2 linked regions of the Mus musculus genome follow. The protein of the gene in region 1 interacts with the protein of each later gene in a pairwise test. Links are inferred from orthologs where the notes say so. Each region holds a gene or a part of one and is shown on either strand. Other genes may lie near its edges. The genes, in order: Ldlrap1 and Psd4.

The links.
Region 2: the proteins of Ldlrap1 (region 1) and Psd4 interact in binary tests that used the Homo sapiens proteins (3 or more experiments, as listed by UniProt). The two-hybrid records come from large-scale screens. The link is inferred for Mus musculus from reciprocal best matches to the Homo sapiens genes LDLRAP1 and PSD4.

What each region holds. Positions count from the first base shown.
Region 1 is NC_000070.6:134,764,895-134,769,473, reverse strand, and holds the start of Ldlrap1 (low density lipoprotein receptor adapter protein 1), read left to right. Parts: upstream 1-1,469; 5' UTR 1,470-1,573; coding exon 1,574-1,658; exon of another isoform or gene 1,659-1,664; intron 1,665-4,579. UniProt on the Homo sapiens protein: Adapter protein (clathrin-associated sorting protein (CLASP)) required for efficient endocytosis of the LDL receptor (LDLR) in polarized cells such as hepatocytes and lymphocytes, but not in non-polarized cells (fibroblasts).
Region 2 is NC_000068.7:24,400,116-24,403,615, reverse strand, and holds part of Psd4 (PH and SEC7 domain-containing protein 4), read right to left. Parts: intron 3,196-3,500; coding exon 3,016-3,195; intron 2,603-3,015; coding exon 2,522-2,602; intron 2,396-2,521; coding exon 2,283-2,395; intron 2,093-2,282; coding exon 2,034-2,092; intron 1,885-2,033; coding exon 1,795-1,884; intron 746-1,794; coding exon 702-745; intron 417-701; coding exon 256-416; intron 1-255. UniProt on the Homo sapiens protein: Guanine nucleotide exchange factor for ARF6 and ARL14/ARF7. Through ARL14 activation, controls the movement of MHC class II-containing vesicles along the actin cytoskeleton in dendritic cells. Involved in membrane recycling.

The sequences.
Region 1 (4,579 bases):
TTTGAGGGCAGGGGCAGGAGTTATCGCCTCTAACTCCAGTCACACAGGACAGCTCCATGGGAAAGGTCTTCTTGCCTCCTTTACAGCTGAAACTTATAATGGCCAGACCATGCCCCCCACTAGGATTCCCACTGAGGCATCACTCTCTGACTCTTGGGGAACCACAGGTATGTCGTGTCTCCTGCTGTAAAGGAGGCTATGGCTGGCTGTACTGTCCACTCAGGCGGAGCACTTGGAACAGACAGGAGGTTTAGAAAGAGTGGAATGTGAGCCAGGCCTCCTTGGGCAGCTAGAGCACACAGCATGTGTGTCTCCCAGCCAGAAGAGATCTGCTGGCTTCTGAAACTAGCCAGAGGTCACAGCTGCGCTGCTGAAGCCCAGCTTCTGGAAGCCAGGTAGTGAACGCCAGACTCCTTTGGGCACAGTCTGAACCAAGGGTTAGCGGGTTTTTTGGTTTTTTGTTTTGTTTTCTTGGTTTTTTTTTAATAGTTAGAATTCTTTGTTATTTGGGTTTTCTGAGACAAAGTTTCACTCTATACCCCAGGATGCCTTGGAACTTGCAGGAATCCTCCTGCTTCAGCTCCATGAGCGCTATGATTACCGGTCTGAGCCATCGCTCCTGGCTCTAGAGTTAAATTACCAGCTTCCTGGGGCTGGAGCAGGTGCTGCCTTGGAAACAGGCTAGAGCAAGGCTACACACCGAGGGCCTGCCCAGACAGGCCGGTGGGTGCACTACAGATAGGATCACGCTTCATTTGACAGATATCATGACTCAGAGCAGGGAAGGACAGCCTGGGTCACACAGCATGCCTGAGTCTGCGTCTAAGGTTGCAATGTCCCTGAGACTGTGGGGGCAGAGGACAGCTAAGAAAGCTGCTAAGGGCATCTACCAATACACTCCCGATCCTTCCCAGCAAAATTCGCGGCCTTCATTCCCTCGTTCAAAGACTCCCATTGCTTTGGTGCGCCCCTCACTCATATTTATTTAATTATTTACATTTATTTTGTGTATGTAAGCAATGGGGGAGGTGCCACTGTTAGCGCCAGGAGGTCAGAGGACAATTTGCAGGAGTTGATTCTCTTCTTCTACCGTGTTGTCTCCGGGATCATTGTCAAGCTTGGCGGCAAGTGCCTTTATCCACTCGACCCTCTCCTTCCCATCTATCGTTTTTTTCTTTCTCTTATTTTTGAACAAGACCCTTATCGTTCTACCTTTCACTCTTCCCATCGGTGAAACGGTATCCAGGTGCCTTTTAGCTGAGCTATCTAGAAGGCCATGGGATCCCGTAGCTAGAGAACGGGGAAAGGCGCTGGGCTGGGAGCCTTGGTGGGTTCTGAGTTTAGGAACACCGCGCGTGCAGCCTCGGAGCCGGTCCAGGTCCGGGAAGGGCGGGGTTGCGCTCTAGGGGCGTGGCGGTGGGCGTAGCCCCTCCGGCCCCGCCCCTAGACGTCGCGGGGAGGGCGGGGGAGGAGCGCAGCGGGCGCGCGCCGCCTGGCCCGGCGGAAAGTTTTCCTGGAGGAGTTTTGGCGGCGGTAGCGGCGTCAGTGGCGGCGGCGACAACCGGAGCGGGCCATGGACGCGCTCAAGTCGGCGGGGCGCGCGCTAATCCGGAGCCCCAGTCTGGCCAAGCAGAGCTGGGCGGGCGGCCGGCACCGCAGTGAGTGTATGCGCCCCGGGTCGGGCCTCCGCCGAGCTCCGGGCCAAGGTGGACTGGGTGGCTTCGTCCCGCCCCGCGCGGCGGGGCCGGGGGTCATGTCCGGCTGCACGTCTGGGGCAGGTCGACAGGGATCAGGCTTAACTCGGGGTCCCCAGGTGTGGCGCGAAGGGGACGTCTAGAGCCTCTCTACCCACTCCAGCACAACCTACAGGGTCCCCTCTGGACGCTGGAGTTTCGCAGGTCCCTGCCTCGAGGGGCGATCCCAGCCCGGGTGCCATTCAGGGTCCCGCTTCCTCCCCTCTGGACGCGTCCAGGTGGCGAGGCTGGAGCCCAGGCTATTTACAAACCCTGTTTTCCTCCGTACTTTTCCTTGGGGGCTGGTCCGAGTCCCTGGGCACCTAGGCAAAAGGCAGACTCAGACTCGCTGCCATTTCTCCCGGGAGTCTGGAAGGGTGGAGAGGAGCCTCCCCCAGCCACCTCTCGGGTTACTTTCGGAGAGCCGTCACCTGGCACCCTCCCCCGAGGCCTGAGAAACCTAGCTTAGGTCCCTCCTCCCTTTTCATTCGCGTGGGATGATCACCCAGGCCTTCCCTTTCTGATGTGAAGCCAAAGTACCCGGGCTCGCGGCACACCCTCACCTGCCACCTACCTGGGGCCCCCCACCTCTCCCACTAACAGTACCCCCTCCCCGCCCCCAGCTTCTCGTCAGCACCTTCCCTTGCCGGGCTCCACCAGGGGAGCCCGAGTTTCCTAGTCCCTGGAGCGCCAGCGTGTCTGGGCCTCGGGAGCCCGCCCTGCCCCTCCTCATTCCCACTGTGGTGTTCCAGTTGTGGGCTCCTCCTAGCCCTGACTGGCATCGGGAACGCGTGCTGGTGCCTACTGGCGGGGGTGGGGTCAGAGGCCCCTTGGGCAGGGCATGTACTGACTTCCACACTTAACTACCAAAATAGCCCTTCAAAAATTCGTGGGATGTGACCAGGGCTTCTGAGTGTGACCTTCTCTTCCAGTGGACGAACCCTGTGGTTTTTCTACTGGGACAAGAGAGAGAAGGGTGGGTGGGGAAGAGGTCTGAAGGGGAGGGAGCCAGGAAGCAGGGGATGAATCTAGGGCATCAGGGTACATTTTGGATGGTGAGAAGTTTCCCTTCCAGCTCCAGCCTTAAGGCCGATCACTTGTTCTTAGTGATTCTGTTTCCTATCCTGGAAAATAGGGATAAAATTCCTGCGGGGCTGGGGATGTGTGTGTTGTGTTTGGTAGGATGCTTGCCTTAGCTTGCAGGAAGCCCGTGGTACTTTAAGTTCTTGGTTCCAGTATCGGCACTAAACAAATCAGGTGTAGCGGTTCGTGTCTGTACTCCCAGAACTAGGGAGTTGGAAGCCTACAAATCAGAAGTTCACAGTCATGAGGTGTCAGATAGTGAGTTTAAATGAGGCTGGTCAGGGATAGGTGTCAGTTAAGATGTTGCTAGTCTATTTTACAGGTTGGTGATGAGGTCTCTTGTTGTCTAGGCTGGCCTAGGACTTGCTGTGTAGACCAGGTGTGCTTTGAGCCTCTGATCCCCCAGTGCTGGGATTAAAGGTGTGCACCGCCATATAGTTATGTCCATGTCCTCTGGATTCAACCTGATTCTTATCAGGTTGGCCAGTTCTGAGATGGGGGCCTCAGCCTGTCTGTACCCTGGAGGGATGCAGCGCTCTCCTCTCTCCCTGCTCCTCCCAAAGCTCTGTGCTCACAATGAGCTCCTCAGAAACCTGGCCTATCTTTGGTTAAGTGTCAAGTTCGCAATATTCCTTTGCCGGGAAGAGTATTGCTTGGTCTGGAACTTTTGTGGGAGTGTCTGTGCTTGTCTTACTTGCCTAGAGGTGGTCTCAGTGAATGCATGCCCCTGCTTCTGTCTCTGGTATTTGACTTCTGTGAGCTCATTGGCTCCTGGGAGGTGACAAAGCTTGGGATTCTTATCTTCAGACCCATTTTAGAGATAGGACCGGGAAATGAAGTCCTAACTCTAGGCCTAGAGCATGGCCTGAGGCAGAGCTTCCCCAGCCCAGGGATCTTAGCCTTATTCCTTGGGTTTTCTGGCTGTTGGGGGGCAGCTCCACCCCAGGTTTGGCTAGCTGGCCCCCAGGACCAGGTTAGACAGGAAAGCCTTGGGTGTGGCCAGCATGAGAGGTTGGGACCTATCCAGCCCTTGGGTCTAGCGTTTAAGATCAAAGGCCAGAGCCTGTTAGATGGGAAAAGGGACTTGTTCTCAGGCGGGAGGACCTGAGTTCTAGTCCTGGGCTCCATTTGGAGGAAGGAGAAAACCGATTCCCAGGAATTGTGACCTCCACACATGCACGGGGACTCTTCTCCATAGACATAATGAGTATTAAAAACAAAACAAAACAAAACAAAACAAAAGCTCAGAGGACAAAGCAAAGATGAGGGATTCTGGGTAGAATCAGCCCCTGCTGAGAAAGAGAACCCTGGCTGGAGCTGCCAAGCACCGACCTGCTGGCTTCCCACTCACCTAGGAAGAGGACTCTTCTTTCTCATGGCCACTTCCCCTTATGAGACAGGGTTTCCCAATGTAGCCCTGGCTGCCCTGGAACTCACTCTGTAGGCCAGGCTGGCCTCAAACTCTGGGATCTCCCTGCCTCTGCCTCCAGAGATCTGAGAACAAAGGAGTGTGCCACCACCCCCACTGGCCAAAAGATCGCATCTCAGCTCCTTGCCAAGAATTTTTCCCAGCTCAGCGATATTCTTCCTAAAGGTCCTGGGGGTCACTGTGACCCTCATTCCTTTGTGGGTTGTGCTAGGCTGTCAGAGACAACCCCCAAAAGATAAATACAAAGTACCTGGTTCAGTAAAGTGATGGTAGGTGGGGAGCTACTCTTATTTACCTGTAGGCATGTAAATACCCTTGGGCATAATCCTTTAAT
Region 2 (3,500 bases), on another chromosome or scaffold:
CTCTCCCTCCTCCTGCCCCCATACGAAACACAGTCCCCTTCCACCTTCAACTGAGACACTATGTGCTTGTCTAGTCTTTGTCTTACCATAGTGGTGCTAGGGTCTGGAGATAACCAGACCTATTTTATACAGCATTCAGTTACCATCCAGGAAAGAAACACAGGTTGCTCGTTCTTCTGTGTACCACAGTATAGGACAGGGTCCCCAAGGAGAGCTCTCCCTACACACTCTCCGCCCCCTGCAGCAGACACTTACTCTTCTTGCCATCAGCAATGTGATGCATCTTCCGAGCCAGAATGCCCTGCTTATAGGTGGGCATCGTGGGATCCTGAGCCATCTGCAGGAAGGGGCTGCTTATCTTGCCAGCTGAGGGAGAGGGTTGGTCCTTCTCGGGTCTGTCTGCATCTTCTTCATCTCTGGATGGCAGAGAATCAGGGTCGGGATGCTGGTAGACCAAGTACCCTCTGCTTCTTGAGGCACTAACTGTACCCACCCCACATCAGTTCTGGCTTCCCCAGCCTTGCTCAAGTTCCTCTGCTCTTCCCCAAACTGGTCCAGCCCCCCTGCTGTAGGCACCACCCACTCAGATGCAGAACTATGTAGACCCCTCAATTTCTCTAGTTCTCAGGTGGGCAGCAGTGGGTAGACAGGCTTAGTGGCAGGGATGAAGGGCAAGAAGGGGAGGAAACGGGAGCTCTTACATAGCCCATTCGAGCTTCTCACTGCGGATAGACCAGTAGAGGGCCTGGAACAGAAGAAGCATATAGATCAGCAGGTGGTCTGGTCACTCATGTGGTTGGTACACATCTATGGGCAAATGTACCACCTTTTTCCTCTACCCCATCATAGATGTTCTTCTCCAAAACCAGGCAAGCATTCATGATCCATTTCTCCACTTCTCCACCCATCCATCCCTGTGCTGGATACTGGAGACATAAAGATAGCAAAGAGGCCAAGGTCCTGCTCTGCAGAAGCCCAGTACATTCTAAACTAGTCCTTTGAGAAGGCGCATGAATTACCCACATACTGTCTGTCCAGGGGTTTTCTGACAAAGGATCATGGCTGAAGGACACACCCACAATAAATATTTGATAAATGAATGGATGGATGCTGGGTTAGAATTTTGCGGTCACGTCACAGATGCATTATTATGGATACATCTTGCTTGCTTTTGGAGCACTTGGTGTTTCTGGCAGGTATGTGGAGTAGAGGAAGCATCCAGTAGATGACCACCAAGTAGATAAAAAGAACCAGGGGTCCAACTGCTTATGGAGCTTGTGTCAGCTGGACATAGTGCATGGCCTGTGACAGCTTTCATTTCATCTTCATAATGACATAGTGAGGTGATCATTTCCTCCAGAAACAACTTGAATTGACCCAGGGACATGCTGCTGAAGACTAGGATTCAAACCAGGGACATTCAAGTCCCCAAACCCAAGATCAGGATTTTCCATACATGGAACTTTGTGTATCATGCATTCAATCCCAGGACAGGACAAGGCAAGGACAGTAGCACTTGTCAGAGTTCAAAGCGGGATAAAACCCTTCTGAGAATGTAATAAACATTTTCAGATGCGTAGAGTATGGTTCTATAGGTCCAAGGGTATCAATTTGTACAGACAACAAACCCCAAGATACCACTGATATTACCAGACAGAGACACAATGGCAAAACTTGTCCTCATAAAGACTTCATCCCAGCCGTGTCTAAGCTCTAGTTTCCCCCTTGGAACTAGAGTTCTAGGCTACAGACAGAGAAGAGAGAGAGGGCCCAGGTCTTGTGAGGAAGCCATACCTTCAGCAGCTCTTTGGGGAAGTTCCTGCCATCCTGCAGGCCATTCAAGTTGGTTACAAATTCCTGACAGCTCATGCTCTTGCCAATGTTCTGTGGCCGTGGAGAAATGGGACCGTTTGAACATTCCACTCTGACGTGTTTCCAGTCTCTGGTCCTCTCTTCCTGCCTCATGCCACATCCCCCTCCCCCATCCTCCAGACCCCCCACTTCTGTTCTTTAGCTGCTTCCCCACTCCTTACCTGCCCATGTAGGTCTGTGTTAAGGAGCATGATTGCACAGGTCAACGTGTGAACAGAATCTGCCTCAGAGAGAGAGGAAAGTACAACGCTCAATGGAATCTGGACCACACTAGGGGTGACCCCCCTACCCCCATTTCTCCACAGCCCCAATAGACTCCCAGCAGCTGCTGCTCAAAGGATCCCGTGTAAACACATGCTGTTTCTATGCCAACCCCAGGTCCTACCCCAGCCCTATTCCACCCTCCATACCTACTGAGGGGAAGGCTCCAGGATTGCAGTAATGGAAACGTTTGGAAAACTGGTAGAGAATTCGTTCCCGCTCCTGAGTCTCTCCACTGAGCACCAGGGCCTGGAGGAAACCACTGCCCAAGAAGGCCAGGATTGAGCAGAGCCACATTCTCCATGAACTTGGGACCACTGTCCCACAGCTGTTACTAACCACCCCACACACCCAACTCCTGCCTCCTCAGAGGTGCAGAAGGCCTTACCGGAGGGCTCTGTCCAGGCTCTGACCTTCGAACTGGAAGAAAGACAAGTAGGCCTCGGCTACAGCCCTGCTGAAGTCATTGCTGCAGAGGGCAATGGAAATTAAAACACTGCTGGGACCAGGCTGAGCTGTAGGTACAGAGGGGCCCCAGGGTAGCAAAAGCTAAAGAAAAGTATAACCAGGCTAGGTGCCAGGTCCCAAGATAGCAGCCAGTGGCTTTGCCTGCCCCTGCTGCTTGGTTCAGGGTTATCTGTGATAGGCCAAGTGGGATCTGGATGGGCAAGGGAAGGAGCCAGGGTAGAGAAGAGTTATTTCAAGGGAGACTGAGAATAAGCAGAGCTAGCTAAGTAGAGAGATGGGCTAGGGAGGAACCAGAACAGAGATAAGGGGACAAGCAGTAATAAGGCTGGAGGAAAAGTAGGGATATTGGTCAGGGGAAGGACAAGAGTGGATGGCCAGTGGAGAACACCCATGGGAAACTCAAAAGTCCCTTACTTCTTGCGTAGGTGGGCAGCTACTTCAGACTTCCGAAAACCATTCAGTTGATAGAGGCGCAGGGCTAGGTTCCATGCTCCCTTGTCATTTCTGATGTCATTAGCCAACTTCTCTCTAGACGATGATGGCCTCCAGCCTTCCTCTGGAGATTGAGCTTGGGGCATGGGGCTCTCAGGAAGCCTAGAAAAGTTCATTTGTGTCCTCACACTTGTGGTGCACATGAACATCAAGTGTTCTCCAAGGCCATGAGAAGAAATGGCCGAGCTCAGGGTTAGAACTATGACTCTTGGGATCTGGAGAAGCTGAACCCAGGTCCTCAGAATGGAGATACATGTTCAAAGCCAGCCTGGCCCGGCCTAGGCTAGGACCAGGAGATCTCAGAGAAGAGTTAGAGAAACAAGAGCCACAGGAGTGGAGCCAAGCTGGTGCCACATTTCCCTAGGTACCCACAAAGATTCTTCAAGCTATCTCATCTGGAGTGGCAG